7 linked regions of the Cricetulus griseus genome follow. The protein of the gene in region 5 purifies or fractionates together with the protein of the main gene of each other region. This does not show direct contact. Links are inferred from orthologs where the notes say so. Each region holds a gene or a part of one and is shown on either strand. Other genes may lie near its edges.

The links.
Region 1: the proteins of Rbx1 (region 5) and Fbxo11 purify together in Homo sapiens (co-immunoprecipitation; 4 studies listed by BioGRID and IntAct, with this or other methods). This does not show direct contact. The link is inferred for Cricetulus griseus from reciprocal best matches to the Homo sapiens genes RBX1 and FBXO11.
Region 2: the proteins of Rbx1 (region 5) and Fbxo21 purify together in Homo sapiens (affinity purification with mass spectrometry; 3 studies listed by BioGRID and IntAct, with this or other methods). This does not show direct contact. The link is inferred for Cricetulus griseus from reciprocal best matches to the Homo sapiens genes RBX1 and FBXO21.
Region 3: the proteins of Rbx1 (region 5) and Cul7 purify together in Homo sapiens (affinity purification with mass spectrometry; 9 studies listed by BioGRID and IntAct, with this or other methods). This does not show direct contact. The link is inferred for Cricetulus griseus from reciprocal best matches to the Homo sapiens genes RBX1 and CUL7.
Region 4: the proteins of Rbx1 (region 5) and Fbxw8 purify together in Homo sapiens (affinity purification with western blotting; 6 studies listed by BioGRID and IntAct, with this or other methods). This does not show direct contact. The link is inferred for Cricetulus griseus from reciprocal best matches to the Homo sapiens genes RBX1 and FBXW8.
Region 6: the proteins of Rbx1 (region 5) and F-box/WD repeat-containing protein 2 purify together in Homo sapiens (affinity purification with western blotting; 3 studies listed by BioGRID and IntAct, with this or other methods). This does not show direct contact. The link is inferred for Cricetulus griseus from reciprocal best matches to the Homo sapiens genes RBX1 and FBXW2.
Region 7: the proteins of Rbx1 (region 5) and Fbh1 purify together in Homo sapiens (affinity purification with mass spectrometry; 3 studies listed by BioGRID and IntAct, with this or other methods). This does not show direct contact. The link is inferred for Cricetulus griseus from reciprocal best matches to the Homo sapiens genes RBX1 and FBH1.

The regions. Positions count from the first base shown.
Region 1 is NC_048598.1:89,602,667-89,606,188, reverse strand, and holds part of Fbxo11 (F-box only protein 11), read left to right. Parts: intron 1-266; coding exon 267-343; intron 344-429; coding exon 430-573; intron 574-3,290; coding exon 3,291-3,401; intron 3,402-3,522. UniProt on the Homo sapiens protein: Substrate recognition component of a SCF (SKP1-CUL1-F-box protein) E3 ubiquitin-protein ligase complex which mediates the ubiquitination and subsequent proteasomal degradation of target proteins, such as DTL/CDT2, BCL6, SNAI1 and PRDM1/BLIMP1.
Region 2 is NC_048597.1:97,899,590-97,903,420, reverse strand, and holds part of Fbxo21 (F-box only protein 21), read right to left. Parts: intron 3,600-3,831; coding exon 3,388-3,599; intron 1,940-3,387; coding exon 1,782-1,939; intron 1-1,781. UniProt on the Homo sapiens protein: Substrate-recognition component of the SCF (SKP1-CUL1-F-box protein)-type E3 ubiquitin ligase complex.
Region 3 is NW_023276806.1:256,067,589-256,072,126, reverse strand, and holds the start of Cul7 (cullin-7), read right to left. Parts: upstream 3,070-4,538; 5' UTR 2,846-3,069; intron 2,119-2,845; 5' UTR 2,111-2,118; coding exon 1,456-2,110; intron 1,114-1,455; coding exon 962-1,113; intron 850-961; coding exon 358-849; intron 1-357. Other genes in the region: Mrpl2 (39S ribosomal protein L2, mitochondrial), read right to left, coding at 3,461-3,676, 4,305-4,378. UniProt on the Homo sapiens protein: Core component of the 3M and Cul7-RING(FBXW8) complexes, which mediate the ubiquitination and subsequent proteasomal degradation of target proteins. Core component of the 3M complex, a complex required to regulate microtubule dynamics and genome integrity.
Region 4 is NC_048597.1:97,960,897-97,964,223, forward strand, and holds the end of Fbxw8 (F-box/WD repeat-containing protein 8), read right to left. Parts: intron 2,998-3,327; coding exon 2,887-2,997; intron 2,510-2,886; coding exon 2,365-2,509; 3' UTR 504-2,364; downstream 1-503. UniProt on the Homo sapiens protein: Substrate-recognition component of the Cul7-RING(FBXW8) ubiquitin ligase complex, which mediates the ubiquitination and subsequent proteasomal degradation of target proteins.
Region 5 is NC_048595.1:378,619,502-378,623,948, reverse strand, and holds the start of Rbx1 (E3 ubiquitin-protein ligase RBX1), read right to left. Parts: upstream 3,074-4,447; 5' UTR 2,995-3,073; coding exon 2,917-2,994; intron 1,114-2,916; coding exon 1,035-1,113; intron 1-1,034. UniProt on the Homo sapiens protein: E3 ubiquitin ligase component of multiple cullin-RING-based E3 ubiquitin-protein ligase (CRLs) complexes which mediate the ubiquitination and subsequent proteasomal degradation of target proteins, including proteins involved in cell cycle progression, signal transduction, transcription and transcription-coupled nucleotide excision repair.
Region 6 is NC_048599.1:146,550,927-146,555,444, reverse strand, and holds the start of F-box/WD repeat-containing protein 2, read left to right. Parts: upstream 1-1,549; 5' UTR 1,550-1,658; intron 1,659-1,759; 5' UTR 1,760-1,868; intron 1,869-1,913; exon of another isoform or gene 1,914-2,132; intron 2,133-4,518. UniProt on the Homo sapiens protein: Substrate-recognition component of the SCF (SKP1-CUL1-F-box protein)-type E3 ubiquitin ligase complex.
Region 7 is NC_048596.1:228,530,969-228,534,799, forward strand, and holds part of Fbh1 (F-box DNA helicase 1), read right to left. Parts: intron 3,216-3,831; coding exon 3,085-3,215; intron 2,981-3,084; coding exon 2,845-2,980; intron 1,851-2,844; coding exon 1,660-1,850; intron 1-1,659. UniProt on the Homo sapiens protein: 3'-5' DNA helicase and substrate-recognition component of the SCF(FBH1) E3 ubiquitin ligase complex that plays a key role in response to stalled/damaged replication forks.

The sequences.
Region 1 (3,522 bases), on a different chromosome or scaffold from region 5:
TTTATTTATAAAGATTTTTTTCTTTTGTGTGTACATGTGGGCAAGTATGTGTGCAAAGGCGCAGATTTGGAATTCAGAGAACAACCTTCAACTCAGTTCTCCTTCCTCTCCGGGTCATCAGCAATGTTGTCAGGTGCTGAGCCATGTCACTGGTCCTATGAAATCAATTCTTGCCATGATTACTGTTGCTTGTCATAGTTATAAAACATGAGTTAGTGAATAAGAATGATTGACTGAAATGTCATTACTTTCTTTCTTACCCATAGGACTGGAAGCAACCCTAAAATTAGACGCAACAAAATTTGGGGAGGACAGAATGGTGGAATTCTAGTTTATAATTCTGGTATGTTTAATCCATCTTCTTTTTCTGTATTAATAAACTTTAGAAATATGCCTTCTAAATAACATACCTAAATTTTACATTTGTAGGTCTAGGCTGTATAGAAGACAATGAAATATTTGACAATGCAATGGCTGGCGTCTGGATTAAGACAGATAGTAATCCTACACTAAGAAGAAATAAAATCCATGATGGGAGAGATGGTGGCATCTGTATATTTAATGGGGGTCGAGGTATTGTTGTTAAGTTTGCATTAGTAAAAAACCCAGTTTTCTGTTGTTCTTCTATATCTTTAATGATCAGTGACACTGCCAACTAAAATGTTACAACTAGATGAACCTCCTTACCACATCCTTAAATGGTTTAGGAAATTTGTGTAAAGTATTCCCATCTTTTGTAACTGCCTTGACTGCCAATTGTCAGTAAAGCTTTTTGAAGGTAGAGTTGCACATCCTCACTCTGGTCCTTTTATCCTAATAAACATTAAAGTCAAGCTAGAGAAGTAGATGTGACAAATGAGTATGTAAAATACATGCAACTCTATAGTAAACAAGTGTTGATTTTGTAACTGTTGGAGAACTAAATTAAAAAACCCAACGTGATCCTGGTCCATAGAGCCAGCCTAGTTTGCCTTGAGGCATTAGTCCTATAGTGGTCACCCTTTCCAGATAAGTGTTCATAGATTTTGAGACGGTGCTGAGAGGAAAGCATGGATTCTACAGTGTCGACAACCCAACACCCAACATTCTGCATTATCCCACATAAAAGAAATATACCAATGCTTGAGATCATTTATTGTAGCCGAACAGTGATACCGACTCTCATAGAGGTCAACACCTCTAGTCTGAGCCCTGGGGAGTCTGAATCAGAAGTGCCATAAGCCTTACTTTGGCTCAGTGTGAGACTGTCTCCAAAACAAAAAAAAAAAAGGCAGTGGTGGTGCACACCTTTAATCCCAGTGCTTGGGATGTACAGGCAGGCAGATCTCTTTGAGTTTGAGCCCAGCCTGGTCTACAGTTAGTTCCAGAACAGCCAGGATACAGAGAACTCCCCCCCCACACACACACACACACAAAGGGTTTCTCTGTGTAGCTTTGGAGCCTATCCTGGCACTCGCTCTGGAGACCAGGCTGGCCTCGAACTCAAGAGATCCCTCTGCCTCTGCCTGCTGGGATTAAAGGCATGTGCCACTAACGCCTGGCCCTACAGTAAATTTTTTGCGCTATGTCTCAAAATATTCAACTGATGGGAGAGCTTTCCAGGTATAATTGTTTGCCTTTGACTTTTTTGTAATGATAGCTAAAGACCATAAATAAAAATTATGACATCCATAAAATCTACAACTAAATGGAGTGGCACATTGTTAACCAGCTCTGAGGGAAACTGAAAATGGTGTAGAAGGTACAAGAAGTGAAGAGAGCTGAAGCTAAGAGGTTTTCTGTGTGTAGTGAGGCCATGAAGACAGCTCATTGTCTAGAGGGGCTTGTGTACAGGCCTGAGGAGCTGAATTTAGTCCCCGTATCCCACAGGGTAGCTGGAGACCTCCACATGCACACAAAACGTTAGGAATGGAGCAGGAGAGATGGCTTAGTGATTAAGAGTACTATCTGGCCGGGCGTTGGTGGCGCACTCCTTTAATCCCAGCACTCAGGAGGCAGAGGCAGGCAGATCTCTGCGAGTTTAAGGCCAGCCTGGTCTCCAGAATGAGTGCCAGGATAGGCTCCAAAGCTATACAGAGAAACCCTGTCTTGAAAAACCAAAAAAAAAAAAAAAAAAAAAAGAATACTATCTGGCAGGGTGGTGGTGGCACGTGCCTTTAATTCCAGCACTCCAGAGACAGGCAGGTCCCTGCATTCAAGGCCAGCCTGGTCTATAGAAATCCTGTATCAAAATCAAAACACACACACACACACACACTTGGTCTGCTCCTGCACATAAAGTGTGTGTGTGTGTGTGTGTGTGTGTGTGCGCGAGTCTCAAAGTCTCTGTTAACACCATCCCTGGGAATCTTAATGTCCTCTATGCCTGAGCACCAGGCTTGCATGGAAGGCAAATTAAATAGGAATGTGCTGGGGCTGGTGTTCAATTGTAGATTGGGTCCTTAACATTGAAATGTTCAAAAATACTAGAGGTCAGCTGTCTACTGAAATAAGTCTACTTTCTGGAAACAGAAATACTAGTACAAAAACAGATAGTGGAAGTCACAACACTTGCATACCTGGCATCTAGGGGCAGAAGAGGAGGGCTTTGGTTCCCCTAAAACTGGAGTTACAAGTAGTTATAAGCCACCATGTGGTGCTGGGAATCAAACCCAAGTCCTCTGGAAAAGCAGCCAGCACTCTTTAACGACTGAGCCATCTCTTCAGCACCTAAAAACAGGTTATCTGTGAATAGCTGTTACTTACTAGTGTACTCTACCATGAAAGTATTTGAAGGGTTTAAGTAAGTCTTGATTCCTTGGCACACATTCACAGTGGTGTAAGGTGTGAAAAACTCACAGAGGAAGTGATGGTAGGAGATCAAGGCATTTCAGGAATAGTGTCTGACTACATTACTATACACGACAAGTAACTAGAATACTCTTGGGGGGGGGAGGATAATGGAGTAAGAGAAAGCAAGAGTGGGGACAGACAGCTGCCTCAGAGAAATGGCAGAAGACTTCAAATGCAACTTGATTTCAAACCACTCAAAAATTAGATTTATGAGCAGAGAAAGTCATCAAATGAGAGGAATAAATAAGGAAATTATGAGACTTCTGCACATCACTTCCTTTTGAGTTAAGGAACAGGAAGAAGCCATATACCATGAGGTGCTGGCCAAATTAACCCATGTGCTCCAGGCGTGGTACATGCCTGTGACTCAGGAGCCCAGCCTTGGGTTACATATTAAGACCCTGTTTCCACAGTGTTTACTGTATACATTAGCTTTAATCTAAGTGTTTTAATTATAGGTCTCCTTGAAGAAAATGATATTTTCAGGAATGCTCAAGCAGGTGTTCTTATCAGCACTAATAGTCATCCAGTCTTAAGGAAAAACAGAATATTTGATGGATTTGCTGCAGGTTTGTATTCTTTATCTGTGACTTGTTTACAGTTTGTAATTATAAGGTTTTCCTGGTTATTATTCAAAGTTCTGAATTCCTCTACTCTAGGCCAACCTTGCTCTGTAACCCTGGCTGTCCT
Region 2 (3,831 bases), on a different chromosome or scaffold from region 5:
ATTCTCAAGTGACAGGCTCTGCAAAGGAGTAAACCACAGCAGAACTATCTGGCTGGAGCTGGTTAAGCTGTAAAGGGCCACCTTGTGGTGACAACTGGGTAATGAGAATGCTTATCAAACACGAGCTATTAGCCATGTGATTTGGTATGCAGCCACAGCCCTGGTTCACCACAAGGCAGGATCCTGTAATGATCTTTCAAACACTAGCAAAAAGGCCTTCCTATTCACTGATGAAACAGACCTAGGTGAGAACCCACTGTTGGCGAATGGACAGCATGTGGAGTGTATCTGCAGGAGCAGGCAGGGTGGAGCAGCAGTTCAGGAGAAGAATGTGTAGGAGCTACCCCAAGATCACAGAGCAGAGAGCCCAGGCTGGAAGTCCAGCACACAAATAAAAGGGTTCACGAGGTCACTAGAAACAGGATCTGGCCCAGGGAGGTATGTGAATACCTATGTGTGGCTGTGAAGGAGTTCCTTGCCACCCTTGCACCCCACAGCCATCACACAGCAGCCCTCAGGAGAAGCCATAGTCCTGTGGCCAACAGAAGGGCCTCTCAAGGGAAACCAGCCAAAGCTAACATAATCACAGCCACTCCTATGCCACCCAGTCATTGGACTGCAGACTTTTGTTTCTTCTTACACTGTGACTGCAAACTACTATCCCATGTGTGTGCACACACACAGTGAGGTGCACTGAGGCATCAGCAGGAACCATTCAGAACAACTAAAGCTGAGTGCTCACTTTACAGATTGCATCAAGCAAACACAGTATACGAACTATTTCTATAAACCTCAATATCTGATTTGAAGATGTTTACACCCACTCTGAGTAGGGTGGACAACTGCTACACCCAGGACGCCACAGCCAGGAGTCATGACTGATGACAGAAAGCCTTCCTCACCTGTCATAGAGCAAAGCCCCAGGCCGTTTTTAAATCACGGTGACTTTCAGAAATGGAGAGCTTTGATTTTCACTGGAGTTAGCTTCAAAAGCCGAAGACTGGCCTGTGGGAGCCTCCAGAACACTCTGGGAACATGTGGCCCCTTTACCTTACCCCAGGAACCCATGGAGGAGGTGAGGCACCTACAGACATATTGGATGGATCCTCCTGGCCTCCAATGGGTCACAATCACTCATGTGAGGACTGTTCCTGTTATCTGAAACCGTGACACTCCAGACCTCAGTATTTTTACCCCTGTATGGGCAGAACAGGTCTGTTGGTTCAGGCCATAGCCCATCACCAGACTCCTGGCTTCATGTCCTCATGGTCAAGGTAAAGTGGAGGTGGCCTGTACAAGCTCAAGGCTCTGCATGTATGAAACGCCTGGGTCTCAAACAGACTTAGCACCCATGAGGGCACACTGTTCATCGCATCAGTATCCACACCTTCTCTTATTAATAAACCAGTGTGCTCCTTGCTTTCAGGTGTATGAAAGTCAAAAGGGACACAGACAAAGGCTCACACTACAGTCATTGCTCTGACTCTTCAATTCCATCTGTTCCCAGCGCTGGCCAGTCAGGTGGCCATGGCCTACCAAAGGTCACCAAGCACAGAGTTTGTACAGGGGACTGCAGTTTTCACCTGTGGCCACATGAGGGCGACAGGGAAGTCAGGTGTCTGGCTAGTGAGGACAGTAAGCAGTGCTAGAACAAGGACCTCGTGTTGGTGTGCCTGTGTGTGACTAGCTATGGACAGTTGCTACCCTGTATACACTGGTGAGCTCTCCCTATAGCATGGTCAGCCAGGGATGGGTGGAGATACAGCAAACAAACACCTTACCTTGGGCTGCATATCTACAGGAGCCATCCTCCACCAGCACGTTGTAGAAGGGCTGATGGTGGCCATGAGGCAGACTGTGAACATTCATGTTGCGGATCCACTCATGGCCCATCATGCAGGTGGGGTCCCAGCCATAGATCACACAGTTGTATCCATACCTGTGGAGCACGGGAAGATGGCAAGTGAGCTCCTGGGGAGCCTCAGAGCTGCGGAGGAGTCAGGAGAGGCAGGCTGGGGTTCTTCCATGCCCTTTGTTCATTACCTACTGCTCTTACCCCATGTGGAGTCACTTTTAAGAAATCCTGTCCCTCTTTACAAATCCTACTCTCACCATCAACAAAGCATTGTATCTGGAAAATAATCTTTTTTTTTTTTTTTTTTTTTTTTTTTTTTTTCTAGACAGGTTCTTACTGCATAGCCCTGGCTGTCCTGGAATTATGTAAACCAGGCTGGCCTCCAACCTCTTGCCTCTGCCTCCCCAGTGCTGGGATTAAAGGCGTGCGCCTTCACCACCCAGCTTTAAGAAAAACATTGGAACAGAGCAAGAGACTACCTTTGGTAAGAAGAGGATAATAAGAGTGAGAAGGGGAGGGGCTGGAGAGATGGCTCAGAGGTTAAGAGCACCAATTGCTCTTCCAGAGGGCCTGAGTTCAATTCCCAGCAACCACATGGTGGCTCACAACCATCCGTTATGAGATCTGGTGCCCTCTTCTGGTGTGCAGATATAAATGGAAGCAGAATGTTGTATGCATAATAAATAAATAAAATCTTAAAAAAAAAAAAAGAGTGAGCAGGGGAGCCCCCCCCCTTCCCTCCAACTGAATGGGTAGGGTGAATGTGTGCAACATTAACTTCATTAGTCCAGAACTGAGGAGGGAAGTGGTGGTTGTGGTGTTCACTGCTACAGCCAGTACACTAGGAGCACAAGCTGCCTCACGTGCCCTTCTCTCCACTCTTACATGTTTGGAAATTTCTTTAAGGAGTTGAGAAGAAAGCATTCACTAAATGAATGTCTCAGAGACAATGGAGGGGTAGGAAGTAGCCACATGCCAACAAGGAAGACCGTGTGGCCAGATGGAACTGCCTTTGCCAGTGAGGGAAAAACACTACCAAGTGTCACCTGCTCCTGTCACATGAGCACACCAAGGTCATGCTGTGGGGACAGTAATCACAGTTTGTAGGTTGCTTGTGGGACATGAACCTGCACCAGCACTCTGGAGTTAAATTCTGCCTGGTGAACAGACATGGGCAGAATTATACCTCAGGAAAGCCCTGCTAACCCAGATCAGAGATGGCAGGGGACAGAGAAGGGACAGCAGAAGGAGGAGCTGGGGCCATAGCTCAGTGAGCTTCTAGTTTGGTCAATCCCTAGGCTCAACCCCCAGAGCCCCATACAAACTCTAGGAGCAGTCAGAGTTCATGAAAGACATTATACCTCACAGTTAAAAGCTGGATGCAGGCAGGGGCCTGCTGTCTGGCCTGTGGGGGTGCTCAGTGAAATGACCTGAGGTACCAGGGTATGCCTCTGGGATCCTCTTCCCTCTTCAGTGTGGCTGTGGCCCTGGCAGCCTGTGGGCAGCCACAGAGGCCAGGAGCAGGTACTCACCTCTTGTGCTTCATAACGAGTCCAATGGAGTAGCAGACATCTCTGTGCTTCTCCTCAGAGCGCAGCTTCACCTCCACGCCTACCTCCTCCTTCTTGCGCTCAATGTGCTCTAGTGTGTGCTGCACTAGGTAGCCCACTGCCCCGTGCTGCCCAGGGTCAAGGGTCTGGATGTGCTGGAGGATATCAAGCACCTTCAAGACAAGACAGAAAGACTAGGAGATAATATTTTCGCCAGGCCTTTTCTTTTCCGAAGCGTGGGATCGACACCTACCCATGTACCCTGACAAAGACCAATGACGGCATGCCACTTGTGGACCAGGAGTCGTAATGGGTCAAACATTTCTTGGTTAGCGCCAATACCCAAATACCCAACGCTTGATCCAACAAAAATCCACCAGGATCCAGTCCCCATTCACATACCACTTCCAGGAGCGGACTCCTAAA
Region 3 (4,538 bases), on a different chromosome or scaffold from region 5:
ACATTGCTAAGTAGCCAAGGCTGGCCTTGAACTCCTGATCCTCCTGCCCTACTTCCCCAGTACTGGGTTTACAAGCATGTACTTCACGTGCTGGCTTCTTTCTGTCTTTCAAACCACATGATTCCATGCTCCCATCTGCCCCCAGACAGCCCACCTTCTTCATTCTGAGCTATCAGTTTCTTCCTGGGTCTGAATCTCCTATACCCGAACATCCCAAGCTCTCCAAGTAGCCCTTCTTTCAACTGTTGACCCCTTTGCCTTTTCTTTTAACTAAGCTAGCTTGTAAGAGCCCCTGTATAGAAGTTATGCCCTACAATAAGTAAATCTTCCAGTGTCCCACTACCATGCAACACTCACCTGCACAGGGGGCATACCATCGTTGCTCTGTCGGAACTGGCCCTCATCCCCAGCAGCGATCTCTTCATAATTATCTAGCATCCGTACCCGCATCCCAGGCTGCAGCATGTCCCGCACATACAAAGCATAGGTATTGACACTTGCAAACTCAGTGCGGGGCCGAAAACGCTTTGACCTCCTGATAAGCTGGGGGTGGGGGAATGCCAGGCTGGCATCTGCTGGCTGAGGCTGGAAAATGGAGTAGGAGGACCGTGCCAACCTCCCTGGTCTGCTGGAGGCCCAGTCCCAGCGCATGGCCTGCACCAGTTCAGAGATCAGAGTGCCCATGGCCATACTGAATTCCAGTTCCAGCCGGCCCCTCCCTACATTCAACTCCTCAGGAACCAAGTTGTTCTGGGCTCCTTGCTCCCCTGCACCGCCATTCAGCTGGTCCAGGAGGAAGGTGGCACGCAAGTATCGTTTCACCAGGGAGAAGAGCAGCCGTCCTGGGACCTGTAGGACACACCTTTGACCCTCACCCATCGTGCCTTCACCTTTTGTCCCTTTCCACAGTCTCCTCCGTGACAAGTCCACAGCTCCTACTACCCCTACCCTTACAAGATACCTGTGGTAGCTGCACGCCCTCAAAAGACATGGGGTGTTCGGCAAGGGTAGCCTGTGCAAAGAGTGCTAACAGTGCACAGCGGCTGTCAAAATCCAGCTGTTTCTCAATGGCCTCTTGTTGGCTCAATGACAGAAGAATCTGGATCCGGGTCCCTGGAATCCACACCTCCAATGAGAAACCACTCCCAAGGCTCACTCGTTTTCTACTTAATAACAATCCTTTACCAGCACTCATCAGGAATGACATATTTTGTTGATTTGCTTTTAGAGCCAAAGTTTACTATCTCTCTCTCTCTCTCTCTCTCTCTCTCTCTCTCTCACACACACACACACACACACACACACACTGCAGCAGTCTTAGCTCTTCTTTTGCATGAAAAGCTAATTAAATTTGTTCTTACTTATTCAGTCTCTCTCCCCCCACAAACATCCCCCAGGCCCTCCCCCACCTTTTCCTTCCAACTTAAAGTGAATGACAACAGAACCATTACGTACTGATGATGTCAGAAGCTCCTGTCACAGTGTCCTGTGAATCCCCGAGCCGACCCTGCCCCTCCCCATACTGCCCCTCACCAGCGTCATGGGAGGACAGAGCTTGTATCATCCGGCCTGCACTCCAGCGGATCTGATAATCAGGACTACTCAGCATGTGCATGAGCAAATCCAGGATTCTGGGGTCTTTGAAGACACCAGTGAGGGGCTCGATGCTGGCATAAGCACTGAGTACATGGACAGTGTGAAGGAGAGGGGCAGGGGGAACGGTGCCCACACACTCCTGCAGCTGACGAAGGGCCCTCTGAATCAAGGATTTCACGTCTGTTTCCATCTCCCCCAGCACAGATTTGTCGAGGGCTCCAGCCTCTGCAGACCCCTGGGAAGGTCCGATGACTTGGCCATCCTCGCCCAGCATCTTGTGACAATTGGCATAGATCTCATCATCAGACATCCATAGCAGGATATGCTCAGCCTTGCAGTCCACTTGGGTAGAGTCCCCTTCCCCATCATCTCCACGCCTGAGGATGAGCCAGCGGATCTGATACTCAGGGTGCCCATCATGGCCTACTCGCTGCCGGATCAATTCATCTGGATACGCATGCAAGCCTGGCCCCAGGGGCACCCTGAATTCCCTGTAGCGGAGTTCCCCCACCATGCTGGCACCTGAGAGAGAAAAGGCAGGCTACAGTGAGAGGGGAGGTCAGAAAATCAAGGGCATCCAGGAGTTGGAGGAGGAAATGCAGCAACAGCTGTTAGCCTGGGTGGGGTAAAGCTGGGCCTACTTTGGGCTGGGTGAGACCGGGGCTGGGCAGAACATTGCGGAAATTGTTCTTCAAGAACAAATAACGGAGCTAAAAGGTCTCCAAAGCATGCGGCCTTGAGTGGGTTGGTTCGGAACGACCGGAGGGATAGTGGTTTGGGCAGTGCTGGATTTACAAATGAAGCCCAAGATCCCGGGACAGATAAAGGTGATCTAGGGAAAGGGGTGTGTGAAGGCACAGGATTGTGTCAGAGAGGGATGCAATCTCTAAATTGAAGCACTGTGTTGTAAGTGCCAAAGGCGAGAGCGCGGACGGTGAGATGGCCACCAGCAAAGCATGGCCTGGGAGGAGGGGTAGGAATGGAGATATCCACGGCCAGAGCAACTGCAGAAGACGCAAGGCCAGGGGCAAGGCGCACCGGGGGTCCGATGGGTAAGGGGCGCGCGGGGCTTGATGGATGGGAACCAAGACCTGATAAGGTCAGGAGCGGTCGCGGTGGGATAGGATTGGGAGCGGGGTTAGGCCCAATAAAGGAGAGTCCTAAGGCGTGGTGGGGAAAGGGACGCGAGGCTCCGCGGGCGATCGGAAGCCCAGAATAGGGTCAGGGGCCGCGGTGGGGCTGTGGCCACCTCAGAAGTCCGCCGGGATCCTGGCCGAGGCCTGTCCTTTGCAGAGCTAGGGACGCGAAGCACACGATGGCGGCTGCGGCGCTGGCGAATGTTTGGGCCCCGCCTGGGCCCCCCGAAGGGGTCGAGGTGCAGAGGAGGGGGCGTGCCTCTGCAGCAGACAGGCGGGCAGAGGGCGGGGCCTGCGGGACTTGGCCTCCGCGCCGGCGCCCTGCTCGCCCGCTGCTGCAGGGCGGAGCTTGGTCCCAGCTGGGGAGCTCGGAGGTTTTGCTGCCTGTACCTCGCCACCGCTCGTTCCCGCCCGTCTTGGAGGAAAGCCGGGGGCGAGGGGCCTGCGGCGGGCGGAGCCGCGGGTGCCACCTCGACGACGCGGCTCTCCAGCACCGGACCGCCCTTTCCTCTTCCTTTTAGTCCTCCTTCCTGCTGCCGGAAGTGCCTTCCCGTTTCCCAAAGCAAGAACTGGGAAAGACCTTGGAGGTCATGTCTACCCCCTCCCCATCCTGTCTTTTTCTTCCCTTCCCTCTATCCTTGTTTACTCCTCGTCCAGTCTGTACCCCGCCCTTCAAAAGTGAAAAGATGGTAAGACAAAAACGGGTCCGTTTATTAGAGTCAGGGGAATCAGCTTTGGGCAGCAGCAACAGAGGGAGTCTTCACGTAACTCTTCATGGGGGGCAGTGGCCTAATCTTTCGGCCAGCCCAGCCTCCCTTGCGTTGCCACAGCCCACTGTTAGGCCTCTTGCCCAGCCAGCGGTTCCGTCCTGCCTTGCCGATGACTCGTTGGTTATGATCAACGTTGGAGACTCGGCCTACAGTTGCAATGCATGTCTCCAGCACCTGACAAGAGAAGCAGGCGAGAGTGCACCGTGGGGACAAGGGGCAGGCATGGCAGTGCTGAGAGCACGACTCTGTGTGGCTTCTTAAACTCAGTGAGGGAAGGGAGAAGACAGAAAACACAAAATAGTAGACTATAAGTGTGGGTTCGACAGGATGAACTGAGTAGATAAAAAGACTACCCTTTTTGTTTGTTTGTTTCTATGGCTTTCTTATGGAGTCCGGCTGTTCTGGCACTAGCTATGTAGACCAGGCTGGCCTGGAACTCAACAAAAGCCCCCTGCCTTTGCCTCTTGAGCGATGAGATTATAAGCCAGTTCCAGCCAGACTGTTCAACCCTGTCTTCTCCTGGTTTCCTGAAATGGTGTCATGTAGCCTAGGTGGCTTCATTCTTTTGTCAAAGTCTGGAATGCTGGGATTACAGGCATGTATCACCATGCCCAGCAGAGAAAAGGCATTTCTACTTATTCCACTAAGGTGCCAACCTGACAAGGCATGCTTAGTCAGGTGGCAGAGAGAGGGACAGACACAGCTGCAGGTAGTCCCTGGCATCATAAACACTTGGGAGCTGGCCAGGTACATTCCAAAAATTCCTTCTTTGCTGACCCCTCCCACTTGTGCCCATATATACCTGCATTTGTCTCTTAGAGGGCAGCTGGATAATGGCTGTTCCATTCACCTTCCGAAGCAGCACGCCACATGTCCCTAGGGAACAGAGAAGCATCTTTGCCACCCTCCACAAATGAGAGGGAGGTTTCCATGGGGATCTAGGCCATATGCTACCCTTTGCCCTTCAGGGGTGCGTGAAACATAGAAGAGTACACACTATGACTTAGGTTAAGACAAAGCACACATTCATCCTCTT
Region 4 (3,327 bases), on a different chromosome or scaffold from region 5:
TTAGGGCAATTGTCACCTGAAAGCCCCCTCACCAGGAGAGGTGGTTCACAACTTGTGGTGTTGCCATTGCCATTTAACAAGTGGACTGGGGCGTGCCACCCTCTCCTGGAGAGGATGTGAGCCTAGGGAGGGAACTAAGTACTTCGTCCTGGGGTTGTGTCTGGGATTGTCTCTGGGATTTCCAGTTCAGGAAGAATGGAAACCCCACTGCTGGGAAAGATTGGTAATTCTATTGCTCAGCTGAAACTCGAGACCATCTTTTCATGGGAACTGCTGTATGGGCTTCAGGATAAGCAAGCTGCTCATGGCCTGCAAGGACAACCAGCCCAGTCACAACAGCAGCAAGCCCAGCCAAAGATGACCACATACTCCCCAGACCCTGCCTTGTATGCTGTCATGTTGCACCCCCTCCCAGCTGTGATGATGAACCATGGAGGAAGATTTAACAAGGGGCCAGGGGTCAGCACTGTGCATCCTCGCAGGAGCAGATAACAAGGCCACGAGTGAGTCCAGAATATTTAATAACAGAGCAGACATGGCTGCGTAAGGCAAAAGGCAAGCTGCGGGTGTGCGGACACCTCTGGTTCTCAGGGGTGTGTCCTGGTGCCTCCAGGCTTTCGAGGCAGCTAAGGGAGACCACTTGTCTCCTACCCTGCTGGTGGGTACAGTGGCAGCAACCCCAGAAGTCAGTAGGGACAGATCTCTGGGTAGGTCTGTTGCTGGGCTGGGGGTGGGGGGTGGTGTGTGTCTCTCAGGAGGCTGAGCTGACAGAAAACAACCAGAGCTGCTGTGTGAGGAACTGTGTCCCCAAGTGCTTTTCCTAAGGGGCAAGGGCAGGGTATGCTTGAAGCTACCCTAGTTGCCAGCCATGCTTCTGTCTTCACTCCAGTCACCTCTGTATCTGCTCTCAAAGCTCTTGGATGTCCTTTCATGGTGCTGATGGAGAAGTCAAGTTTCCCCTGGGGCCCAGATGCAGGCCTGGGAAAGCTTGAGACCAAGCCAGTGGGGGCCATCAGCCCAGCAGGAGGGAGGTGAGCTGCCACCTGCTGGCACTCTGCAGTGTGGTTCAAAGTCCCCCTCGGGAGGGAGGAGCCTGCATGGAAGCCTTGCCCAGTTGCAGCTGGCTCTGTGCGCCTGTCCTGCTAGACCTTGGATGTCTGAGGCCTCTGAATGTCTTAAGCTGAGAAACCTTCATGCCACAAAACCAGGTAGTATCTCAGTGACAGAGCACTTGCCTAGCACACACGGGGCCCCAGGTTCCATGCCCAGCACTGGGAAACAAGGCTGGAGTACAGTGAGGCTCTACTGCTGGGGGGGAGGGGTCGGTCAGGGAGGGTGGCTGCTGCTCTCAGTATTACCCTGGCTTAGAGGTGGGTCCACCTCCCTCTGGAGATGCAAGCCCTCTCAACCCCTTTAGCACCTTTTTTTTTTTTTTTTTTTTTTTTTTTTTTTTTTTTTTTTTTTTTTTCTTTTCTTTAGCTACCTTGGTCTCCAGAGCACGAAGCTCCCCCTGCCACTTTTTTGCCCTCTGCAGAACCCACTGTGGAGTGGCCTGGTCCACCTGATTTTTTTTTTTTTTCTGAGTTGGCATTGGCTGAGATAGGGACTCTGCCTGATGTTGTGGATCTCTGTACAGGTGTTAGGTGCCTGGTCCACAGGAATTCTGAAGAGCTCTGCATGTCTACCCAAATGTTTTCACTGACTAGGTCTCCTGGCCACTGTGTGTGGGTGTGCCCGTGCCGTTCTGCAGGCAGAGTGGGTATCTGTCAAGAGCACTGACTGCGGCTGCTTTTGGGGTGCTGAGGGAAGTGGTGCCACCAGCCACGCTCAGGAGCTGAGGCTCCAAGCCCACCCCTATGGAGTGGCCCTGTCCTCCCCAGGGAAGGAGGGTTGGTTCCTTGGTAGTCCATGTACCGGACAGAGCAGCAAGTGAAATGGAGCAGTCCTCACACAGGTAAGGGGCTACAATGATGAACTGTGTGAAAACCACAGAGGAGGGCTGGACAGGGTGGGGTCAGGAGACCACTCTGAGTGCTTGCCTGCATGTGTGAGGCTCTGGCCATCCTCAGCACCACACACAGGGGACTAGCGTGTGGAAGGAGGGAGGGAGGGGTGTCTCTCCTGTCATAGGCTGCGGTGGAGGAGCGCTTTGGGAAAGGCTAACTCGGAGTCATCAGCAGGTGCTCCCAAAGCCCTAAATGGGAGCAGACTCTCTATAGGTGGTTTCAGAGGCAGCAAGGCTGTGTGGCCATAGGCCACCTGAGAGGGGGCACTATCCCCAAATTCCACTCTGTGCTGCAGATCTTCCCTGCAGCTCTGACATTTGTAAAACTGGCTCTTCCCACTTCTCCATAAGGTGACGCCCTAAACACTGTCATAGGGGAAAGAAAGTGCTAGGTCATAGCTGTACCCAGCCATGGTGTCACAGGGGAAGCGGCAGACAGGAAGAGAGCTCTGAAAGGCCAGCTGGTCCACTGCAAACTCATAGGCATGGATCAGGCCACGATGTCTAGAGGAAACACAGAGAAGCAGCAGTCAGCAAGGCTGGTGTGGCAAGAGGCATGCAGAGTCTAGGCTACCTCTCCACTGTGATAGTGTGTGCTTTGAGCCCACAGTGTCAGATATGCAGGACACTGAGGCCCAGCCTTACTGTCTAGCTGACACCGTGCCCCAGATGTCAGGAGCAGCTGCAGGATGCCCCAGACAGACACTCAGTACCTGCTTCTGGTCTATAGCAGCCACTGTGTTCCCAAGTTCTACAAAAAAACAGGGCCCATGGTTGATACCCTGAGAGGAGCATGTGACTGGGGATGGAGTGTGTGTGGGGGGGGTACTGATGAAACCATGTTAAGCATGTTTCAGGATGTGTCCAACCCCTCAACTGACCTCCTGTGACAGGCAAAGTTGTCCAGGTCGGAGTTCCGCACCACTTTCTCGTAGGGCACATTGGCGGTGATGAGGCTGTGACTATTGAAGGAGATGTGACGCACAGGGTGCCTGGAGCAGTGGGGAAAGAACACTGTAAGGCTGGAGCGTGGCCTGCGCCAGCTGTGCACAGCAGAACTTCTAGGTACACTTTCCACTATGGAGAAGAACTGGAGGCCAGCCTCAGCTCTCAAAGCAGGCACGTAAAAGGCCTTTCTCTGACACTCTATGTACATTCCAGCAGACTCCTTCAACAAGTGGTGCTTTGGGGATATAAGGTGTTTCAACTTGAGACAAACCAGCAACATGGCATAGAGACTCAACAAGCCACCTGAGTGAGGCCTCAGTCCTGAAGTGACGGCTACAACTGACAGCCATGCTGTGAGCTGGGGACAACAGAGT
Region 5 (4,447 bases):
GATACCTGGTCTGTTGGAGGCCAGAAGTGGACTTTGACTAACCTGAGACTGAAGTGATAGGCCATGTTAAGCCTCCATGTGGTTGCTGGGAATTAAAACTCAGACCTCTAGAAAAGCAGCCAGTGCTCTTAACTGCTGAACCATTCCTCCAGCCTGTGACTGTAAATCTTGCTCAACAAAACCTAGCTCAGATAAGAGTACTGAAGCTCAAACTTTAGCCCTGGCGGCCTGTAATTTGCCACAATACTCCTGTTACTGCCTCCCAAATGCTGGAATTACAGGTATGCACGGTTTATCTACCTTCAAAGGTCACTTTCTTTCACTATTGTGTCTGTGTAAGATGGGAAGAAACAACATCTCTTCCTATAACTCATTCTAAATGGGATCTTGTTGGCTTTACAATGAATAATTTATTCTGAGACCTGGGGATGCCTCCTAAGACATTATTTAAAAAAATAACTTTATTTGAAACGGTTGATAGCAACCGTTTGGGCAAATTGTTTTTTGTTTTGTTTTGTTTTGTTTTGGTTTTTTGAGACAGGGTTTCTCTGTGTAGCTTTGGAGCCTATCCTGGCACTCGCTCTGAAGACCAGGCTGGCCTTGAACTCACAGAGATCTGCCTGCCTCTGCCTCCCAAGTGCTGGGATTAAAGGCATGTGCCACCAACGCCCGCCCGTCGAAAAATAGTTTTAACTATTTAACTTAATAATAAAAATAATTTTGAGTGGAGCTGAGTACTGGTGGCTCAGGCATTTAATCCCAGACCTCAGGAGGCAGAAGAAGATGGATCTGAGTTTGAGGCCAGCTGGTATACAAAGTAGTTCTAGTACAGCCAAGGCTACACAGAGAAACTGTGTCTCAAAGAACAAAATAAATTTATTTCAAACACACCAACGGATGAGATGCACTCATGCCCAAGGGTTTTGACCCTGCTTTGTATCTATCTACTTGTAAAGAAGAAAATTGGTCACATCAGGATGACCACCATTTCTGTAACCTTTTCCATTTCTCTCCGTCCTCCCTGAGTTACTTACAAAGATCCATAATGTGGTTCCTGCAGATGGCACAGTTATCAACCACAATATCCCAGGCCCAGAGGGCTACTGCATTCCACTGCAAAGACAAAGGGGGTTAACAATGCATTTTCCTAGTAATGTAACAGGATTTCAGGTTTCAGTTCAAGCTACCAACTCCCTGGCCTTAGGGGCTATCAAAGAAAGAATGTTTTTGGATTATACTATTTGTACTACATCAGAGGACAACAGCAAACCACATGTATGCTTCCTCATTCATCTGAAGATGTAAACATGGGATGCTTCAATTTTCTGTCTATAGTGTAAAATAATTTAGCTAGTCCAACCAATGTAAGCAAATTAGAAATATTTTTTAAACACCGGTTTTAGATTTAAAGAAGTACAAACTTGAATTATTGTGGAGCTTTCCCTGGCAGTTGTGGAAGGACTCAAAATCTGCAGAAGTCTCTGCTCTTCAAGCAGTTTTGGACACATAAGGAGGTGAACAGAATGGAGTAAAATGATGACAGGATCATAATGTGGATAATCGTGGGATAAGCCGGATAGCCAGTTACCTACCTAGCTTCAGTACACAGAACAAGGTCATCACTTAAATCTTAACAGATTAATTCATGGCAAAGTAGAATCCACTACAATTTTCTTTCCCTCTTATCCTGGAAACTGATGTTGTCAACTTTTATATGTCCAAACTATTAATTCTAGTAAGCAAGTCGATCTAAAAGTAGTTCAACTGGCTTCTGCAATTATACATACATATTGACAGACACCCCTTTCAAGGGCTCTTTCAAATTCAAGTCTCAGAAGTTCAGTAACTTCTACATCACTTTTTATACCACAGCATCAACTCGGGGGGTTGAAAAAAAAACGATTACTTCTATTCTTCAATATGGCTGCTGGCTGTAACTGAGCAGCAATGGCCACAATGAGATGCCAGAAAAGGGGGGTGGGGTGGAGGGTGTGCTCAGCGACACGCTCCAAAAATACATGAAAACATCTCTCCGACTACAATATCTTCATTTTTACAGATTTATGTATTCTGAGGTAGGAACTGACACCTTTCTCTCAAACTGTTGGCAAACTATGAAGGGAACAGCATGCAAAAAGACTTTCGACATTTTTGCTTTCCTGCTCCCAAATCATGAACAATTAGTATTCCACTTTCCTAAATGCCACAAGTTCTGGGCTTGCTTTTAAAACAAAGCCCACGAAGCTTTGTAACTACTGATTTTGATAGAAGGGTATCCGGACGTTACAGAACTATGGGACTGGCAAAACCTATACGTGACAAGCAGTAGACATTTCTGAAGAACCAAGTCTTATACTCGAGACTAGGGCCTTAGAGCCTAATGGAGGCCTCCATACAATCGAGGACCCACACCAGGTCTCTCCGAGTCAATAGACTCAAGGATCCAGGAAGGGGCGGGGCAAGGAGAACACCGACCGACAGGGCTCCTGAGAGCCTCCTCTGCGGTAGGGGCTCACGCTCCCGGCTTTCTCCGCACTGCCCCATCCTCCACCCGCCGCAGTCTCTCCGAGAGCCTCCATTCCACCCACCCCACCCTGTCCTTCCCCCACCTCTCAGTCAATTCAGTGACAGCTCAAGCGCTTGGCTCCCGCAACCAAGTCGACGCAGAGTATTTCAGTAAGACATCCTGCGATTGGCCCCTCAGCTACCCCAGCGAAACTTATATGGCCTCAGAGACTGGGTCACCATCATGCCCATCAATCCTAAAGCCCGCCCCCCAGCTTCCTTTTCGTGGTACCCGGTCCCAGGAACGCCCTGAAATGAAGCTCTTTCCCCCGCGCCCCGCTCGTCCTGGGGCCTGCCAGCCATATCCACACCTCTCTAGCTTCCCTGAGGAAAGTGCTGGCCAGACCCAACCTTTTTCACTTCAAAGCGCTTCTTGCCCGCGCCGCTGTTGGTGCCGCTGGGGGTATCCACATCCATCGCTGCCGCCATTTTGGAAACACACGAACACCCGGCAACTGCGCTTGCGCACCGGGTCACACGTCGCCTCCTGCTCCCCACCTCAGGCTCCTCCTCCCGCACCCCTCCCCTTATTGGCGCGCGCGGGTGGAAGGGGCGGAGCCTTCGCCACGCCCCTTAAAGGCGCAGGCGGATGTTCTTCGCCCTCCGCTGGGGAGTAGGCTTGAGGCGGGGCCCGGCGGGGCCGAACTATGTGAGACAGCCGGTGGGAATGTCCGTGAGGTTTCACGCTGCTCGCCTTCAGGGCACCCTCTTGGCCTGATTCCTTCATCTGGGGCGGTGGCTGCCCTTCTTTGCCGGGACTTGCACCTGGTCCATTCTCACAGCGCTGCCCTCCGGTGCTGCGATGGAAGGGGCTTGGGCGGGTCTGTGGAAACCCGAGACTCCACACGGGCCTTCCTCTGGTGGTGGCCAGCTTTGGGGCTACGCGGTGTGGCAGTGTCCTGGAGGCCTGCGGCCAGGTTTCCCAGAGCCCGGGCACCAGCCGAGTTCCCAATGAGTTTGGGAAATGATTTGATGGGGAGAGAAGAGGCTTGAATGTTCTGCCCCAGACCTAACAGACATTCTGCAGCTCTGCCTTCGCTTTCTCACCAGAAAGAGATGGAGAACGCTTAATTAAGAGCCTGGGAGATGCCATATTACCTCTCCTAACCAGCCAGTCCTAAATGTCGTCCCTTTCTCCCCATTTCCTATCCCAATTTGGCTGCTTGAACTACAGTTAAACTAGTTTATCTGTAGTGGCTGGACTTGAATTTGGATGAGGCATTCTGATAATCTTACCGCTCATTTCCATCGAGCTAAACAACATGCTCCCACGTTTAGTGCAGGCCTCCATGGTTCTATCTCCTAAACTAGCAGAGGCATGACTGAAATATATCACCTTGAATTTTTTATATTTTTATTAGTCCTATAATCCTAGGACTTGGGAGGTAGAAGTAGAACGCCGTGGTGTTCCAGTTCCCACAACAGGACAACAAAAGAGTTATATTTGTAATGTCACATATCCTTTTAAAAGAGATACTTATTGGAGAGTAATGGAGTGTTGTTAATGTCATTGCTGAGCAGGGCAATACTTCCAGAAACAACACCACAGCTTTAACGTGCACAAAGAAAATGTGTGACAGCCTGGCTGGGCCTGCCTGTATGTGTTTGTCCAAGTTCTGCCTCCCATGTTAAAACTGTCATTCATTTATTATGTGTTAACAAATTCCCTATGGGATGCTAGAAATCTACAGTTAATTAAGATACTGAGGACATACTTATTCATTATTCAACAAATATCTTGAGTATGTATCAGGTCTTTTAAATTTTGTTTTGTTTGTTTGTTTTAAAGATTTATGCTGGGCGTTGGTGGCACTCACCTTTAATCCCAGCGCTTGAGAGGCAGGCAGATCTATAGAGTGAGTGCTAGGATAGGCTCCAAAGC
Region 6 (4,518 bases), on a different chromosome or scaffold from region 5:
TCTCGCAATAAACCTCTTGTACTAACTGTTGCTTGTGGAACCAGGTACCACAAGATCAAGTTCTCAGCACAAAGGAAACTTATTTGCTCCAGAGGGACAAAGGGCAGGGAATAAGAAACAAAGACAGGAGACAGAGGATGATGGAGAAAGTGAAGGGAACAAGGGATGGGGGAGGGATATTTGCCATGGAGGGGCAAAGGACTACTTCTTGATAGAGGGGACAGGTATGGCCCATAGGCAAATGGCAGTTTGTTAGGATTAGTTGGTTTGTTTTGATTGGGCATGTTAATTAGGTGAACCAAAGGGGGCTTTTGATTGCTAGACTTTAATACTTTTGATAGCTGGACCTTGATAGTCACCCTCAGGAGGAGGAAGTAGCCAAATAAAGAAGTACTTTGGTGGCTAGCTTTAGGAATGTAACCTAACAGTGTAGCAAGGCAGAGGGAATGGGGGAAGGACAAGGCCTGTCAGAGCCATGCTCACCATGCTCGTCATGCCCAGGCCTACTGTGCCCTTCATGTATAAAAAATTGTTGACACCCCTCCTCCAGGATCTGCTCTTGCTCTTGTCTGCTCATTGCCCTTGTCTGCTCAGGAGACAGAGGCAGGCCGATCTCAGGTCAAGGCTAGCTTGGCCTACAGAGGGAGTTCCAGGACAGGCAGAGCTACACAGAGAAGCCCTGTCTCGAAAGACAATAACAAAAAGGCTATCACACAGCAGCATTAAAGAGCTTCTCCTTGTTGAAGAGTTTCTTGCTTACCATGGTTTCTGTCTGGAGAGAGCAAAAGGATGCCAGTCAACTGATACATTATTAATCCCACCCACCACTCGAGAATAAGACCACTACCACAGTTTAAAGCCAAATTTGAAGCAAACTTCAATTAAATATTGGCCAGGTAGATGTGATCCGGCCCGGTCCATACCTGGTTTCCCAGGAAATGGCCCAGAACCAAGTTTTACAAGGGCTTAAAATGTAACTTTGGCTCTCACAAAGTAACTTAAGTGTTATAGAGAACAGCCGTCTCCATGGTTGAGTAACCTCAACCGATCTTTGGGCACAGGGTGCACGTGTTATGGTTCACGCCTACCTCACCTGGCTGCCCCTATCCAACTCCCTTAACCATGTTTTGTTTTCTACAGCACTTGCTTCTTTCCACATAGTTTGCTTGGTTGTTTATGCTGTCTTTCTCCTACGACCAGATGTAGACCTCCCACAGTTAGGAATTTGTTCATCTGTGCCAGAATCCAGTTTGGGATGTATCAAGTGTGATGGGTTGTCTCAATTTAGGTACAACTTAATTTGTAGCCTTAATCCCCGATGAAAAATTGCTCCCAACTTGGTGAAAACAAGGGTAGATGAGGAACATAAACACCCCGTGAAAATCTAGACAGCTGCCTTGAAACGAAGCTTTAGTTCAGGGTCACTAGGTCTAAGTGAAGTCAGGTAGGTGGTAGGCAATAAATAGCCTACCTCTCCACCTCTCTCCACAGACCTGACCATTCTTTCCCACCTTCCGGGTGGGCGGGGCCGGAAGTAGAGCCGTTTCCGCCTGGAGCTGGGCGCTGGGTGCCGGGAGGGACGCGCGGAGATGACGCAAGCAGCACCGGAAGCCGCTCCCCTGTGAGGTTGCGGACCAGAGCAGCGGCCGCAGGTCCAGGTCTGTGTGGGCTCTGGGCCGGGCGGGATTGGGCAGGGATCCTGGGCGCCCGCGGCGTTGCTGACCCACCCCCTCGGCCTGTCTTCTCCCTCTCCCCGCAGGCGCCATGGCTGCGGAGCGGACCCGGCCGCTGCGACGCTCTGGCGGCCCGAGCGCGCCTAGTCGGTGTGAGCCCGGCGCGAGGTCCCGGGCCCCGGGGCGCTCGCTCAGGTCAGTGCCGCGCGGAACACGGCTCCGGGAGCAGGGGACCAAGGGAGTCATGAGCGGGCTGAGGGATTCGGAGTTCATTTTAGAAACAGGAAAATTAGATCTAAGAGTTCCTGCCTCGGTTTCCCTATCTGCGAAATGAATTAACATTGATGCCCCAAGGCTACCGTTTGATGAAAGATGAAGTGCGGACAGGTGGTTTGTAAAACACAGAACGTTGTAGAGCGTGTAGGAAGGCACCATACTTGTGGGTATACTTGAAAACAGGTGTGTATTCGGGATGCTGCTTAAAAAAAGGGGCCGAGATAACTGTATTCATACTACATAGTAATAGTAACTGGCATTTATTGTAGGTTTATAGTGTGCCAGATACTGTGCAGAACACTTTATCCTGTTTAATCCTCACAAACTCCAGTAGGTAAAACAGTACCAGGCTACAGTTTACAAGTGAGGAAATATGCTTGAATTACAGGAGATGATTTGCCCATTGGTTACCCAACAAGTGAAATTTCAGGGCCCGAGTTTTTATTTGAATTTTTTTCAAAGCTTTAAAAAAATAGCCCCCAAACTAGGGGCTTTTAGGCCATGGGTGGCTGTGGACTCTAGTAGTCTCAACACTCAGGCAGCTGAGGCAGGAGAATTGTGAATTGGACTCCAGCCTGGGCTGCATTGCAAAAGCCTGTCTCAAAAGACAAACAAAAAAAAATTAAAGCAATTTTCGAAATTCCTGGAGCAAAGAGAGGAAAATATTTTTAAAATAGTGTATTCACATGTTTTAAATACAAAAACCTTTATATTTAAAAGGGAGCTCCCTCATCCCTTTCCCTTGTCTTTCTCATTCTCCCTGGAAGTAACCTGTTTAATCAGTTTCCTGAATATTCACAAAATATTTTTATGTACATATAACCCTCAGTGTACACATGCACACATATTCAAAGCATCTGATTCTTTTTTCCTTTTCGGTTTTTTGAGACAGGACCTCTCTACATAGCTCTAGCTGCGCTGGAACTCCCTATGTAGACCAGGCTGGCCTTGAACTCAGAGATTTCCCTACATCTGTCTCTGCTTGGCCTGCCTCTGCTTAACTGGTTGTACTTGGTAGGAAAAGGGGGGTAAGGAGATAACCTTTCCAACAACAACAAATATCTACCTTTTATTCTTTAAAAAAAAATACATTTTTGTGTGTGGTGTGTATGTATGCTTGAGTTTGTGTGTGAGTGTGTAAGCCAAAGAACAATTTTACGGAGTCAGTTCTTGCCTTCTAACTTTACGTGGTGTCTTAGTTTGGTTTTTATTGCTGTGACCATGCTATTACCATGACCATTACAACTGTCATAAATGAATACCTTTAATGGAAGAGGCTCAGTTACAGTTTCAGAGGTTCAGTCCGTTGTCATGAGGAGGAGCATGGTAGAGTGCAGGCAAGAAGTTGACTGACTGTCACACTGAGGGAAACTTGAGCAGAAAAGACCTCAGAGCCTGCCCCCCCCCCCCCCCCCCGCGCGCACATACACACACACACACACACACTTCCCCTCCAACAAGGCCACACCTCCTAATAGTACCCCTCCCTTTGGGGACCATCTTCTTTCAAACAACCACATTCCACTCCCTGGCCCCCAAGGTTTATAGCCATATATTAATGCAAAAATGCATTCAGTCCACCTCCCAATGTCCCCATAGTTTATAATAGACCCAAACATGTTTCAAAGTCTCTTCTCAGATGCATGGCAATCTCTTTACTGTAATCCCCTGTAGAATCAAAATCAGAAAACAGATCATATACTTACAACATATGGTGGCACAGGATATACATTTTCATCCCAAACACAGGGAAGGGAGCATAGTGAGGAAATACCAGACTAAAGAAAGACTGAAAACCAGCTGGGCAAACTCCAAACTCTGCATCTTCTTGTCTGATGTTAAAACACTTCAGATCTCCAACTCTGTTCATCTTTGTTGACTACAAGACACTTCTTTCTCTTGGGGTGGTTCCACACCCTGTTAGTAGCTCTCCTCTGCAGGTAACCCATGACTTTGGTGTCTATAACATTGTGGGTTCTCCAAGGCAATCCAGGCTTCAACTCCACAGCTTCACACAATAGCCTCTCTACTAGGCCCCCATTCAGGGACACCCTGACATGTACTTCTATAACTCCTTTTTTTCTATCCTTAACTCTATCAGAACCACATGGCCAACGCTGTCAGCTGTTAAGGTATGCTGCTTGCTGGGGCTGGAATATGGCCCCCTCATTCAGTTACATCTTCACTAGCTTTCTTTCTGTCTTTCACTGCCTAAGCTTGGCTATCATGAAACTTGGTCGGTAGACCAGACTGGCCTCAGATTCAGAGATCCTCCAGCCTTTGCCTTCCCAATGCTAGGATTAAAGGAGTGCCCCAGCACACCAGGCTCTTAATTCCTTTTACAAGTTAGAAATTTAGCGGGTGGTTGGGATCTTCCTCTGAGGTCACCAATTCATTTATTTCATTTATTAATCCATTTATCTCCTTAAACACAAAATTTAGCTTTATTCCACTTCCTGGAACTCTTTTTCTCAAATATTTTTCCTTGCTCAACTTGCTCCTTTTCATTATGTATTTTCATTAGAGTTAATACAAAACAAGCCTATACTAGGCTGTTTGAGATTTCTTC
Region 7 (3,831 bases), on a different chromosome or scaffold from region 5:
GGCTAGTAAGACAAGAACACCAAAGACAAGATGACAGAAGAGCTAAAGGGGACCAAAGATGACAATAGAGGAACGAGACATTAACAAACTCAGTCCACCCAAAGCAGCTCCAAAACCTCAAATGTGTACACGGAGCCCACATTCAGCAGCCTGGAACACTAATTCCCCAATCAAGTGCTCTGCTCCACTCCAGAGTGAAGAGCTGATCTCAAAGCATCACTCTTTTTGGTGAAAAAAGATACCTTTAATAACATTTCAGGGGCTGGACATACAACCAGAGCAACATACCACACTACTATGGACTGAACTATATGCCCCTCCTGAAATTCAAAAGCTGAAGCCCTAATACCATAAAAGGACTGCTGAAAGAAAGGAAGGAAGGAGAGAATTATGATTCAGTGCAGTTACAAAGCTACAGCCATGATCCACTCGAACTCATTTTTAAAAGAAGAGACACAATGTCAAGTGTTCTGTCTCCCCTGCTTCCATCTCTCTCTTCCTGGGATACAGAGAAGATGACTCACTAGGAACCCAATCTTCCCCACCTTGTTCTTGGATCTCCAGCCTCCAAAAGGGCAAGAAAGCAAATGTCTGTGGCTTAAACAACCTGGTTTATGGTACTGTTATAGTGTCCATAAACACACAGAATTGTTCTGTACTACCTTACCAAGGATGATGAGGTCACTGCTGTGTTTCTCTAGGGGCTCACTAATCGCAGGGGTCAGTCTTTTCCTAGAGATGAAACCCTCTGGGTTTCTACCTCTCTAGAACTGGATGCATGATGGCTGCCTGTCTTCACCACTTCAGATGAAAGGGCAGGCCATTCCATATATACCACCCATACTCAGGATTTTAAAGATCTGCCCTCCCCTGGTCCCCAGACATCTCTCATAATCTTGCACTAGCTTCTCCCATATTCAATGCACTCTGCCTCACTGAACTTTCCTGGTATTTATCAAATTAATTCCAACTTTGGGTCCTTAACTTACCTCTTCTTTCTCTTAAAATGCTCTTTCTCATACCTCCAAATGGAGGTTCCTCTTTGACATTCAGACTTCCTCAGAGAAGTGTTTGCTCATTCCATCTAAAACAATGATCCCCACTGCCCTCTCACAGAGCTCTGCTCCACTCCCATTACAACACACATTCCCTAAGGCGGCTGTGTGCTTATGCACTGCCTGTCTTCTTACACTGCACAGGCAATGTTAAGTATTTTCACAGTGGACTCTCTTGTGCCTGGACAATTTCCAGCTTGCTATTTATCTTTGCATACTTTATCACTGTCAAGATAATGGTGAATGAGCAACCAACACTCTAGGCCTTTCTTATATTAAGAAGACACAGTCATTAAGACTCCCACTATAGTCCGCTCCAAAAGTGAGCAAGGGAGAAAAAAAAAAAAATGCTAACGTTTTCCTAGAAATATGTAGCCAGGTGTGAGTACTGTGAGGCATTTCACCTTCACCTCTAGCTTCAACACCCAAGAACATAGAAACTATGTGAAGAAATCTTAGTTGACCAGCAGATGATATTCACAAAGCACTTGGAATTGCATTTCCACAGCCCAGTCCCCTTACACACTACACAGGGAGAAAGGAGGCGCTAGGACAAGTCTAGGGCATTGTGATTTATCATAGCAGCTCCTTTCCAGGGTGTTACCTATTGCTGATGTTAATCCCCTTCTCCCTCATGGCATAAAGGAGCACAGCTATGCAGTATAAGGTCTCGGTGACATCTGGCATGGTCACTGTGGAGCTGGGTCTCCTGAGGCAGAAGAGCAGATGCTGGATGTCGTTCACGCAGCTGGAGAGGAGCACCATGACAGCCACCAAGGCCCAGACGTTAATGCCCTTCAAAGAGAGGTATACAGGATAGGAGGAGAAGCTAGACTCAGCCACAATCTGGAAACTAGTGAGGAAACTGATAGACATTTCCAGCATCTTATTTTACTGTGAATCTATAGTAAGACATTTAATCTTTCTGCCTCTTTCAAATTACCCAATGTATCAACAAGGAGAGAGCCACCTCAAGGGCTAGAGAAATGGCTCAGTGATTAAGAGCATTTGCTGTTCTTGTCCAGGACCTAGGGTCAGCACCTACATGGCAGCTCACAACCGCCTGTAACTCCAGTTCCAGGGGATCTCTTCAGACCTCCACAAGCTCCTATACTCATGTGTGGACCTATCTACATAAAAATATATATATAAATGCATATATTGGGTTGGGTCTGCTTTTGTTTTGTTTTGTTGTTGTTTTTGAGATAGGGTTTGTCTGTTTAGCCCTGGCTCTTCTGGAATTTGCTCTGTACACCAGGCTGGCCTCAAACTCAGAGATCCACCTGCCTCTGCTAGAATTAAGGGTGTGTGCTACTACTGTCTGGCTTATATTATTTTTAAAATATAAATGGCTATCATAAAGAAACCCTATCACTCCAAGTGTTCAGAGACTAGATAACTAGCATTCAAGAAGCTGAAAATAGGGCCTTTTATTTCTCCAAATAGATCATTAACAAGATTAATGCTATTCAGAGATTCAATCAAAAATTTGAATATTGGGCTGGAGAGATGGCTCAGCAGTTAAGAGCACTGACTCTTCTTCCAAAGCTCCTGAGTTCAATTCCCCCGCAACCATATAGTGTCTCACAACCACCTTGAATGAGATCTGGTGCCCTCTGCTGGCATGCAGGCAGAAGACTCTATGCATAATAAATAAAAAAAAAAAAACTTTAAAAACATTTTTGAATATATATATTATCTTCAATTAATCTTAATCAGCAACAGACTTCCAGTGAGAAATGATGTCACCATCCCCCAAAGTAACCCCACAACCTCTCAGTTCACATACCCCAGCAGATGCATAGAGGTCAGGTAGTTGTTGGCGCATGCACGCCTCAGCCTCCAAAAGCAGAGGGTGATCCCTCAGGCTCCACAGCACCCTCTCAGGGTCTACACTTGGGGAACATTTGGTAGTGGCTGTGTATCTGTAAAAGGCTCAGGAAATGAGTCCAGAAGGAAGACAATCGTGAGGAAAGACATGAGAAAGGACTTTGAAAACTGTCTCACAAACTGGAAGAAAGACACTCACCGGATGAGGTTCAGCACACATAAGTCCGAGTCCTTTTCTATGCCATGGCTCAAGAGAATGCCATCCACTTTGCTGACAGCCTGCTCTTCATTTATCAAGTATCGATGATACAGCTTTTTCCAAGGAATGAACTATGTAGTTGAAAAACAAAACGAAATAACATCCAGGCCATGATTCTTAGAAAGACTGAGACACCAACAAAGAAAACCTACCAAATACAAAGCAAATACAGCTCCCAATCCAAAGCTGGGCAGACCAGGGAGAAACTGTCTGCTTGAGTTGGAAACTAGGACAACTGGGCCTTGGTCTTGGCTCTAATACAAATGTCACAGGAGCTAGGAAAAGCTAGCACTTGGTTTTCTTATCTGAAGTACCAGGTGAGCAGCACTTCCAAGTTCCAAAAGCCATACTCACCTTAAGTCAACTGTTACATGACACAAAGGAAGGCATGATGGAATGATAATGCTACACAGTGACATCTTCACCAAAATGTGACAACATAGAGAGTAACACCATCTACTAGAGTATACAGATACGAAACAAACACTGACAGAACTGAATGAAGAAATATTTGGCAGAGATGTGTAAAGAGATGCTGGATTTGAACACACTACAGACTACTGAACCTAACAGATCCATACAGATGCTCAATCCAACAGGAGCAAAATCCAATCTCATCCCAAGCCCCATGAACATTCTCCACACTGGATCACATCCGGAGTCATAAGCCAGTCAATCAATTAAAAT